Saccharomyces cerevisiae S288C: one gene and its partners. The protein of the gene in region 3 interacts with the protein of the main gene of each other region in a pairwise test. Each region holds a gene or a part of one and is shown on either strand. Other genes may lie near its edges.

Region 1 (3,209 bases), on a different chromosome or scaffold from region 3:
GAGGAGGCATTAGAAGATATTTGTGCGCTCGTAAAATTCGAGTATTGAGTTCTGATTGTGGAGTTGCTGGCAATCAGAGTTGGCTCACAGGCATCAAAGAACCATTGAACATTCTTCTGACCAGACAAAACGCCCACAGGAACAGTGTAAGGAGGGAAAACACCAGAATACACAACTTTATCTCTACCGGCAACCAAAGTGCCTCTACCTTCCGCGTCCGAACTACTCAATATTGGTACACCCCATAAGAAATTCTCAGTAATGACAATGGTCTTTGATGTATTAAAAACGATTGAGCAGAAGAAACTCAAAGTTTCAATGGAACGCCAGTTTGTGACGATTATAATGCCGGAAGACGATTCGCTTTGTAAAGTCTGATTAACTTGAGTAGCAATTTGGTAAAGTTGAGTGATGTTTAAGGTGGAAGTAGAGTTGAATAGCGTTGTGGTAGTAACGTTTGACTGGCTACCAGATACAGCAGGTCCACCCGTGATGATCACGGGGACCGTACCGCCGCCAGAAGTAACGTTCTGCCTCTTGTAAAGTGGTGTTGCAGAAGCTGTTAAAGTTGCAAGAAAAAATGCTAGCACTGATGTGAATTTCATAATAGCTGATTGGGTTCTTAGATGTGAAAACTGATCGAAATCAAATACTAGAGCATGATTGATAGGAACAAGAGAAACCAAAAGTGTTTTTAGCTTTCCTCCCAATTTTTATAGTATTCTAATGAGTAACGTCTTAGGGGAATTTTCAACAAGGCATTTCTAAAAGGGGATGCTAGTTGCACATTCTGAGAGAATCATTTGTACACGTTTTTCCCTATTTTCTGCTCATAAACCGAGGATCATCAGCGTTAAATGTAATTGCTAAGCCAAGAACTTTTGCTACTCTAACATTACATATTTGAAGGGTACAGTGAGATTCCCCAACAGGAATTCGCTTCTGTACATCAGCCGGTATTCGCTGAGAACTACTGTAGCCCTTAACTGTTGAATGATCTTTTTCTGGTAGATCATCGGCTTCTTTTGACGCAGGAAAAGGCCCGTGTCACTTCGGCTTAGCTTCTTTCGGCGATTTTCAAGGGAAGCGTCTGCACCTTAACGCAGACAAATGACGCATGATATGCACCCTTAAGGCGGACTTGATCTTCAGATCCCTCAAATGGTAAATGTGCCATAAGGTGGCCAAATTCCAACTAAAAATGATAAATAGGTAATGAATTGTTCACTATGCAGCGTTGCCACCGTTACGCCTCCCCCTTATTTTTCATTTCCGTTTCCATCCAGTTTTTCAGCCTCCTTGAACCCTACCATTAGTAATGGAAGCAATAATCTCATAGCAGCAATTGAAAAAAAAAAAGCATATTCGCTCACATTAAAATAATGAGATAACATGAGATGGCTTGGAATTATAAGCGTTCGCTGACCTGAAAAAGGCGCGGGGCTAATGGACCCATTCGTTAAAATGACCTTAAGCATCCACACATGCAGAATAAAAGAACTTAACCTATTCCTTAGGAAAGTTTATGTATTTGCTGGTACCCTCTTCCTTCTTTGGCCTCTTTTCTGACGTGAATGTCACATGTTAACATTTTTGTCAAATAGCGTCCATCTATTTGAACAAATGCTATCATTTTTGGGGATACAAATTCTATAAGAGGTTCCTGTTTGCAGCATCTAAAAACAGAGCGTGAAACGCATGCAGAAGTGACATATAATCCTTTGTTTAAGCGACAATTAAAAATAATGATCGCTCTCTTTTCCTTTTCAGACTTGCTCATTAAATTTGACAAGATCCGCGGATTAGAGAAGTCTGCGCTTCGCATTTAATGAAAAGATCTCCGATAAGTATATAAGTCCCTTTTTTCTCGAATTATATAAGTCACTTTCTATATGTCAGTGATTATCTCTACACTAGTCTTGCTGTATTCTTAGCAAATTTTTCTCGTATTTTAAAACCATAATACAAGGAGAATCCATGATGTCTTGTCTGGTACCAACACGTTTTACTTTGACCCTTAACACCGCGTGTCTTTTGACGAGCACCTGGGGGTTTGTTAGGGCCACATCTGTAGTCTTACCTCCAAGTTTAAGTAAAGCAGGCCATAAACAGTTTCTAACCATTATATCTATTATTGCAACAATCATTAATAACGCGGTTAACATTTCTAATTATTATATCCAAAGAAACAATAAGATGAATCTAGAAACCAAGAAAAAATCAGACTTTATTAGTAGACATGTCACTTTGCCAGTTTCTTTAGTATTAGAATCTATTGTTGCTACCGTTTATTGGCCGCTTAGATTGTTTTTTGTCAACTTAATAATGCATGGAGTTGAATCTACTGCAAAGACACCTTTTCCTATGACAGTGGATATGGCAATCCACTTATATCCTATTTTATATTTACTAGCCGATCACTACTTATCGGGATCTGGCACGAAATTCAAATTATCGAATAAGCATGCATGGCTCATTGTAACCAGTTTAGCATTTTCATATTTTCAATATTTAGCATTCCTGATAGATGCGGGGCAAGGCCAAGCCTATCCATACCCGTTTCTAGACGTGAACGAGCCGTACAAGTCGATTATATTTGTTGTTGTTGCTACTATTACGTGGGCTTATTATGTATTTTATCAAAAGTTTCCGCCAAAATACATCAAGAAGTCGGCAAAGAAAGGTGATAAGAATTAGCATTACTACTAGTATACTACTATTTAAGCTCTTTGTATGTAAAGTGAGCAAATCTCAAATTTTGCTACTTAATTCTTATTTTCGTGCTAGCCCTACAACGGAACCCAAAAAATCAATCACCAGGGTAAGCGGGAAAAAAAAAAAGTGTAGGAACCGCACTATAAAAAGTCGAAGGTTTGTATTAATTTTCCACACCTCTTTAGTTTTGTTATAATCAAATTCCTTTTGGTTTTTGTTTTAAAAAGGCCAACATCATAATTATATCGCGAATGTACTACTAGTATATGCAGTTTTCTTAAAATTGCAGGGAATGACTAAAAGCCCACGTTTTTCCCACTTTTAGTAGTACTGAAGCGTAGATAGATTGAACGTTGCTGGGCGCCTGGTGTTGATCATTTCTGAAATGAGATATTGGGAATCAGCTGTATCTACATTTTATTTATACATATTTATTTTTACTGGTTCTTAGTAACGTACTTTAGTAGCAATGCTGTGTTTTAGTGCGAACGCCT
Region 2 (4,263 bases), on a different chromosome or scaffold from region 3:
TCCATTTGGTGAGCAACAACTTATAAGAAAGGTTTACTATCTGCTTCTCATGACAGAGAGGTACTATGCCGTATACATTAAATGTGTAACAAGTTTGGATACCACTATATCTCCACCACAACCCGAAATCGTAACTGATTCCCGACTTTCTTTGGATAGTTTTCTTGAGGTGATTAAAGTATTCACTGTTCCTGGGAAATACTTTTACGATGCCTTAGCTACCAACAGTGTTAATGGTTCCTATACTGAAGACTCTCTAAAAAGGATATGGAATGAACTTCACATAAGCTCACTTGATATAGAGCCATACTCTTACGGATACATAGACTATCTCTTTTCTCGGCACTGGGTCAGGACTCTAGCATGGAAGTTGGTACTAAATAAGAAGGATATGCGGATGAATTTTTTTTCGAATACTAACGCCACACACATTCCAGTCGAAATAGCCAAGGATATGTTACAGGATACACTTTTAACTCCAATCGACCTATATGATGTGCATGGTCCTGTGATACCAATGAAGGCGCTAGAAATAGCCAATGCATTGGTAGACGTCGTAAGTAAGTATGATCACAATATGAAGTTGGAGGCTTGGAATATTTTGTGCGATGTATCTAAGTTCGTTTTCTCCCTGAAACATTGCAATCATAAAATGTTTCAAAGGTTTTCAACTAAATGTCAGAGTGCTCTAATCGATTTGCCTATCTCTAGACCACTGCGCCTAAATGATGATTCCAAGGATGAAGTCGACATTATTCCCTAAATGAACTTTATCTTCTTACAGTTTCAACATCTTGTGACCTGATGATTTTCCTCAAATGAACTTTTGCGTTTTCATTGAGAAAATTTCATTATACTTTATTTTTTTTATAAATGGGTACCAAGGCATTAAATATAGATCTGGTTTACTAATCTGAAGAAATTGTTTTCAACCACATAATTTGTGCAATTTGGCGCTATACAAAGCCCATGTTGGCTACATTAGTCTTTGAATCCTTTAGATTGCCTGAATCAATAGCTCATTCAAAATATTTTGGACAATCGATAGTTAACTGTAACATGTGCTGCTATATAGTGGCAATCTAGATGCATGTATCTTATATGATTAAGTATAAAAGAACCACAGCAAAGCTAAACGTAAATAAGTAGTTTAGAAAGTACTGGATATGAGTTAAGAATCTGTTAATTGAGCATGACATGAAAATTTTGTATTAAAGCAATATGAGTCGTCACATTAAATATATGAAACTACGGGAATTACCATCATATTGGTCATGATTAATAATAAACCAATCAGCATGTTTTTACCTCTATTATATTAGTCTTGGACCCGTATTCAACCTTCATTAATATTATCTTTTTACCTTTGTTCATAAACACAATACATTGTTTTTGCAAAATATAACAAAAAAGATTAAGGAAGAGGACCATGTACACTACGATCTTACTTTTGAAATAGAATTTGTTTATTTTTTCAAGATGTTAAACGAAGATGGTGAGTAATATTCACAAAACATTGTAAAAATATTACTTGCTTCATTCTGCGAATTGTTCAAACCCGTAAAGAAAATTTCTAGTATATGATATATGCATAATATCAATAGCTTTACAAAAATAGAATCCGAAAACTATCTAGAAGTTTACTCGTTTCTCAAGTTTTATTTAACAAAACATAGACGAGCTTTATTTCGTGTGAAGAAGTGAAGAAGCTTTAACAAAACTGTATTTCTAAAAGAACGTTACTATACAATAAATTATAAAACTGCATTAACCAATGAAAAAAAGCACTATTAATCGAAACTCGAATATGCAATATTGTTAATGTAAATTAAGCTATCGGTCCGTTTATTTTTCTATCGAAAAGCGGCTTAGTTAGAATGGTTGATAAACGGCTGCGCTTCGTAAAAAGAAATGACATCTTGGAACTACTTTAAATAGAAGTTTAAATCTCATGATCATGCTCATCTGTTTGTACAACACATAAGCTTCACCGTCAGACATATATGCAATGAAGAGTACTTTGAGTTTAACTTTATGTGTTATATCGCTTCTATTAACCCTTTTTCTGGCGGCCTTGGATATTGTTATAGTGGTTACTTTATATGATACAATTGGCATTAAGTTCCATGACTTCGGCAATATTGGTTGGTTAGTTACTGGATATGCTCTTTCTAATGCTGTTTTCATGTTATTATGGGGTCGCTTGGCCGAAATACTTGGTACAAAGGAGTGCTTAATGATTTCTGTTATTGTATTTGAAATAGGGTCTTTGATTTCTGCTCTTTCGAATTCAATGGCGACTCTGATTAGCGGAAGAGTCGTTGCTGGGTTTGGAGGAAGTGGAATTGAATCACTTGCTTTTGTAGTTGGAACATCCATTGTCCGAGAAAACCATAGAGGAATTATGATAACGGCACTCGCTATATCGTATGTCATTGCAGAGGGAGTCGGGCCTTTTATTGGTGGTGCATTTAATGAACATTTGTCTTGGAGATGGTGCTTTTATATAAATCTTCCAATCGGTGCGTTTGCGTTCATAATATTGGCATTTTGTAACACATCTGGAGAACCACATCAAAAAATGTGGCTACCATCAAAAATCAAAAAAATTATGAACTATGACTATGGCGAATTATTGAAAGCAAGTTTTTGGAAGAATACATTTGAAGTACTTGTATTTAAACTAGACATGGTTGGGATTATTTTATCTTCAGCAGGCTTTACACTACTGATGTTAGGTCTTTCATTTGGTGGAAACAACTTCCCATGGAATTCGGGTATCATTATTTGCTTTTTTACCGTGGGCCCTATCTTATTGTTACTATTTTGTGCTTACGACTTTCATTTTCTGTCATTATCGGGGCTTCACTATGACAACAAGCGGATCAAACCGTTACTGACATGGAATATTGCCTCAAATTGTGGCATATTTACAAGCTCCATAACAGGATTCCTTTCTTGCTTTGCTTATGAATTACAGTCTGCTTATTTAGTCCAGCTTTATCAACTAGTATTTAAAAAAAAGCCTACATTAGCGAGTATACATCTTTGGGAACTATCAATTCCAGCTATGATTGCAACTATGGCCATAGCATATCTAAATTCAAAATATGGCATCATCAAACCGGCAATTGTTTTTGGTGTGCTTTGTGGGATTGTTGGATCTGGTTTATTTACGCTAATCAATGGCGAACTCTCTCAGTCAATAGGTTATTCAATTCTCCCAGGAATAGCTTTTGGTAGTATTTTCCAAGCAACGTTATTAAGCTCCCAGGTGCAGATAACATCAGACGATCCAGACTTTCAAAACAAGTTTATTGAAGTCACAGCTTTCAACTCGTTCGCCAAATCCTTGGGCTTTGCGTTTGGAGGGAATATGGGGGCAATGATATTCACTGCATCACTCAAAAACCAGATGCGCTCTTCCCAATTAAACATACCACAATTTACGTCTGTAGAAACACTTTTAGCGTATAGCACAGAACATTATGATGGCCCCCAATCTTCACTATCAAAGTTCATAAACACAGCTATCCATGACGTTTTTTACTGCGCCTTAGGATGCTATGCTCTTTCATTCTTCTTTGGAATATTCACTTCGAGTAAGAAAACAACAATATCAGCCAAAAAGCAACAATGAACAATTTTCCAACGTATAAATTAACTTATCGTAGTTCGATAAAACTAGACAGTACTTATATATTATCTAACATCAGATGGTTTGTCTTTCATTATTTATTTAGTGATTAATGCTAGCTTTAAGCAAGCTTAGTTGCCTCAAGAAAGATTAATATTAAGCTACTGAGGATATAGCATTCGAATATAAAGATATAATCAAAGCTCATAATTACAAAATACCCTGTGATTAGGATATCATTATTACTAACAACACCGTTCCTAAACTAGCAGAAAGTTGACCAACTGTATAAAAATTAAATTTGTTCGTAAATACATATACATAAAATCCGCATTAAATGTGGACTTTCAGTTGAGCAAGTGTTAATGAATATCGTAGGATAGCAAATGAAGATTCGAATTTGATGAGGTCTCTTGTTCCGAGAACTATTGTTTAAGCCAAACCAGATTCAGTGTCTGTACTAAACAGTTGTCACAGAAAGGTGGTAGCTTTACTTTCCGTACATTAAATACAGAAAAATTACCACTTCTGTTGAAAATACTGTTTTGTGGGTTGGGATAATATAATCGTATATAATATCAATAAAACTGTTAATAAACTCTCGAGGATCTGATGTTGATTTTTCC
Region 3 (4,191 bases):
AACATCTTGGACGAAATCTCACGCCATTTAGGAGAATCTGAGCCAAAACGCGAAACGCTACGAGGTTGATCATGATTCTCCAAATAGATGGTCGACCAGCAATCTGTGTTTTCGATAAACAGAAAGCTTTCAGCAAGAGCCAGCTTAAAGTCTTTTAAAGTAAAGGGAATAAGTTCGTACTTGCATTTTGGGTTTTCACCTACTGAGGTGTGCTTGAAGTTGAACATCATATTTAGTTCTCCTTCTTTGGCACTGGTATAAACTCTGAAGTCGTCTTCATTCCCGATACCAACTTCTCCAACAGTCATGATTTCTTTACCCTCTGGAACTTGCGAGAGCATGTAGTTATGCATTTCTTTATGATACTCATGGATACGTGGCCCATTTATGAAAAATTCAGTTCCTTTTTGGTAAGGAACTGTAGGATCAGTGATAGGAGCATCGGGTAGGCCCTCAACCTTAGAATACATGCTGCCTACGTCAATACGAAAGCCATCAACGTTGTGACGTAGCCAATAGCCCACTGAGGAGTCATAAATGGCTTTACGGCACTCTTCATTTTCCCAATTGAAATCAGGTTGGCCAAGAGCAAACACATGCAGAAAGAACTCACCAGTTTTTTCGTCATATCTCCAAGCAGATCCACCAAAGAAAGATCTCCAATTGTTGGGAGGAATTGGATTACCTTTCTCATCGTAACCCTTTGGAGGTCTCCAGAAAAACCAGTCACGCTTTGGATTAGCCTTAGAAGATCTACTCTCCTTGAACCATTCATGCTCTTCAGAACAGTGGTTGATAACCAGGTCAACAATAACCTTGATACCTCTCTTATGAGCTTCTTCTATCATTTGGAAACAATCCTCATTGGTACCGTAACGTGGCCAAACCTTCTCATAGTTGGCAATATCGTAACCCATATCTTCTTGAGGAGAGTCATAAAATGGGCACACCCATATCGCATCGACACCTAATTCTTTGACATAGTCAAGTTTGGAGGTAATCCCAGCTAAATCACCCCATCCGTCATTGTTGGAGTCCTTGAAACTAGCAGGATAAATTTGGTAGACGGTGGCTTCTTTCCACCATTTAGGATTATGGATGATCGTCATGTTTTTCTTTTCAATATTGAGCACTTTCTATATAGTCATCAAGAAACAGTAGTTTTTCGCACCAAGATATGTGAACAAGTGTCCTAATTTATAATTCGTCAGACGTTTATGAACTTACTCCTCAAAACCGTATCAATTACCGTAGCGGTAATGGAAGATACAATTCTTAAGTGTGAATTACTTTTTCCGGTGAATTAGCTTCTAGGATTGTGACTATTTCAATGGACAATGTTGCAAATAGTTTCAAATATTCCCGTGTTTCTCCGAGGATTCTCCACGGAGGAAAAATAATGCAAAGTTTATTTCCCCGTTTTCTTTTCTCCGTCTAGGCATTTACGCTTTCACGCAACTTTATTATATCACCTCCGCGGGGATTCAACAACGAGGTATGTGGAGAAGGAGAGAAATTCCAGAGAAAGCAGCCTAGAGCATCCTGCTGCAGCAACTTATAAACGTATCTCACAGAAAAGGCCGGAGAAAGTTCTTGAAATGTGTAATTTAGCCTACCTGCCAAGCGGCTGGAATTATCCCGAGAATAATTCCGCGACCGGGCCTGTTCCTGAACTCTAAGAAGTTTTGGAATTTCCGAACGCTTCTTCGCATGAAAGACATGAACTCTTAAGTAAAATAATATGAACTGGCATGGTCGTAATCTTTTGGACGACGGAATATCATCGCTAACCATTGTAAGGGATGAAGCTTGACTAGATATATTTAAACGACCATTTTTGTTTCATTCTTATTTTAGATTGCATTTTTTATAAGTCACTTTTAGTTAGCTCAGAACGCCAGCAAAAACCATGACTGATCGTAAAACCAACTTGCCAGAAGAACCGATTTTCGAAGAGGCAGAAGATGATGGCTGCCCTTCGATAGAAAATTCTTCACATCTGTCAGTACCTACAGTGGAGGAAAACAAGGACTTTTCCGAGTATAATGGGGAAGAGGCAGAGGAAGTTGTTGTTCCAGAAAAGCCTGCTTCAGCCTATGCTACTGTTTCTATCATGTGTTTATGTATGGCTTTCGGTGGATTTATGTCCGGTTGGGACACAGGTACGATTTCTGGTTTCGTCAATCAGACTGATTTTTTAAGAAGATTTGGTAATTATAGCCATTCCAAGAACACTTACTACTTATCTAATGTGAGAACTGGGTTGATTGTGTCCATCTTCAATGTGGGAAGCGCCATTGGCTGTCTTTTCTTGTCTAAATTGGGTGATATTTACGGCCGCTGCATGGGTTTGATTATAGTTATTGTCGTTTATATGGTTGGTATTGTCATTCAAATTGCCTCTATAGATAAGTGGTATCAGTATTTTATTGGAAGAATTATCGCTGGTATAGGTGCTGGTTCCATTAGTGTTCTTGCCCCGATGCTTATTTCGGAAACTGCGCCAAAGCATATCAGAGGTACGTTGCTAGCTTGTTGGCAATTGATGGTGACTTTCGCAATTTTCTTGGGTTATTGTACCAATTATGGTACCAAGACTTACTCGAATTCTGTCCAGTGGCGTGTTCCGCTTGGTCTATGTTTTGCATGGGCTATTATTATGATTGGTGGTATGACGTTTGTTCCGGAATCTCCTCGGTTTTTGGTGCAAGTCGGTAAGATTGAGCAAGCTAAAGCTTCTTTTGCCAAGTCGAACAAGCTTAGTGTTGACGATCCTGCTGTGGTTGCAGAGATTGATCTTCTTGTTGCTGGTGTGGAGGCAGAAGAAGCAATGGGAACTGCTTCATGGAAGGAATTATTTTCGAGAAAGACTAAAGTTTTTCAACGTTTAACGATGACAGTCATGATTAACTCTCTGCAGCAACTAACCGGTGACAACTATTTCTTCTACTACGGTACTACTATCTTCAAATCTGTCGGTATGAATGACTCTTTTGAGACTTCAATTGTCTTGGGTATTGTGAATTTTGCTTCTTGCTTCTTTTCACTTTATTCTGTTGATAAGTTGGGCCGTCGTAGATGTCTTTTACTTGGAGCAGCCACCATGACGGCGTGCATGGTTATTTACGCCTCCGTTGGCGTCACAAGACTATATCCGAACGGTAAAAGTGAACCATCATCTAAAGGTGCTGGTAATTGTACGATTGTTTTCACGTGTTTTTACATTTTCTGCTTTTCCTGCACCTGGGGACCTGTATGTTATGTGATTATTTCTGAAACATTTCCATTAAGGGTGAGATCCAAGTGTATGTCCGTTGCAACAGCGGCCAACTTATTGTGGGGGTTCCTAATCGGGTTTTTCACTCCTTTTATTACTTCGGCAATTAATTTCTACTACGGTTACGTTTTCATGGGTTGCTTAGCGTTTTCATATTTTTACGTCTTTTTCTTTGTTCCAGAAACAAAAGGTCTAACTTTAGAAGAAGTTGATGAGATGTGGATGGACGGTGTATTACCTTGGAAATCTGAATCCTGGGTACCAGCTTCTAGAAGGGATGGTGATTATGATAACGAAAAATTACAGCATGACGAGAAACCCTTCTACAAAAGAATGTTTTAGACCGGTGAAAACACACGCAAGCAAACTTCAAAGTACATTGATAAATAATGTCCAATGCCCTCTGTAATATAGGGGCTTTTTAATTCCTAAGACTGATTCGATATATTAAACACCAGGGCTACTGAAGACTGACAGTCACGTTGAGTCCTATTATATCATTTTACTCACAGAAGATTTGGTAATATGATACTTAGATGGGCTTAACAACAAAGTGTTTTCTTGATGTTACTGCCCATGAAAAAAAGCAAATCAAATTAGTAGGCGGATTGTTAACTTTGTTTATTTTGAAACCCGTCAGGACTACCAAAATATAACAAAGTATTGATTATCGTCAACGCTTTATAGATCACTTTTTTTTTTTTTTGAGGAACCGATTAATTAATACATCGTAGCCTCTGCTTATTGCATAACACAACAAAAAAATACAATAATACGCAACTTTTGTTTATAGAAAAATAAAAATGGAACATATGATATTCTCTGTTCGTCATATGATAACTTAAGCACTTTCGTGTGTACATAGGTATTCTAGTGCATTGGAATGAGATCAATTATGATTTCCTAACCCAGAA

The links.
Region 1: the proteins of HXT8 (region 3) and YHR140W interact in a protein complementation assay, tested with the Saccharomyces cerevisiae proteins (one large-scale study listed by BioGRID).
Region 2: the proteins of HXT8 (region 3) and SGE1 interact in a protein complementation assay, tested with the Saccharomyces cerevisiae proteins (one large-scale study listed by BioGRID).

What each region holds. Positions count from the first base shown.
Region 1 is NC_001140.6:378,595-381,803, forward strand, and holds YHR140W (uncharacterized protein), read left to right. Parts: upstream 1-1,977; coding exon 1,978-2,697; downstream 2,698-3,209. Other genes in the region: SPS100 (Sps100p), read right to left, coding at 1-605; YHR139C-A (uncharacterized protein), read right to left, coding at 1,514-1,825.
Region 2 is NC_001148.4:932,026-936,288, forward strand, and holds SGE1 (Sge1p), read left to right. Parts: upstream 1-2,008; coding exon 2,009-3,640; downstream 3,641-4,263. Other genes in the region: YPR196W (putative maltose-responsive transcription factor), read left to right, coding at 1-763. UniProt on the Saccharomyces cerevisiae protein: Drug export permease. Multi-copy suppressor of loss-of-function mutation of GAL11. Involved specifically in transcription of GAL4-dependent genes. Can link GAL4 with the basal transcription machinery if GAL11 is missing.
Region 3 is NC_001142.9:24,978-29,168, forward strand, and holds HXT8 (hexose transporter HXT8), read left to right. Parts: upstream 1-1,909; coding exon 1,910-3,619; downstream 3,620-4,191. Other genes in the region: oligo-1,6-glucosidase IMA5, read right to left, coding at 1-1,109. UniProt on the Saccharomyces cerevisiae protein: Probable glucose transporter.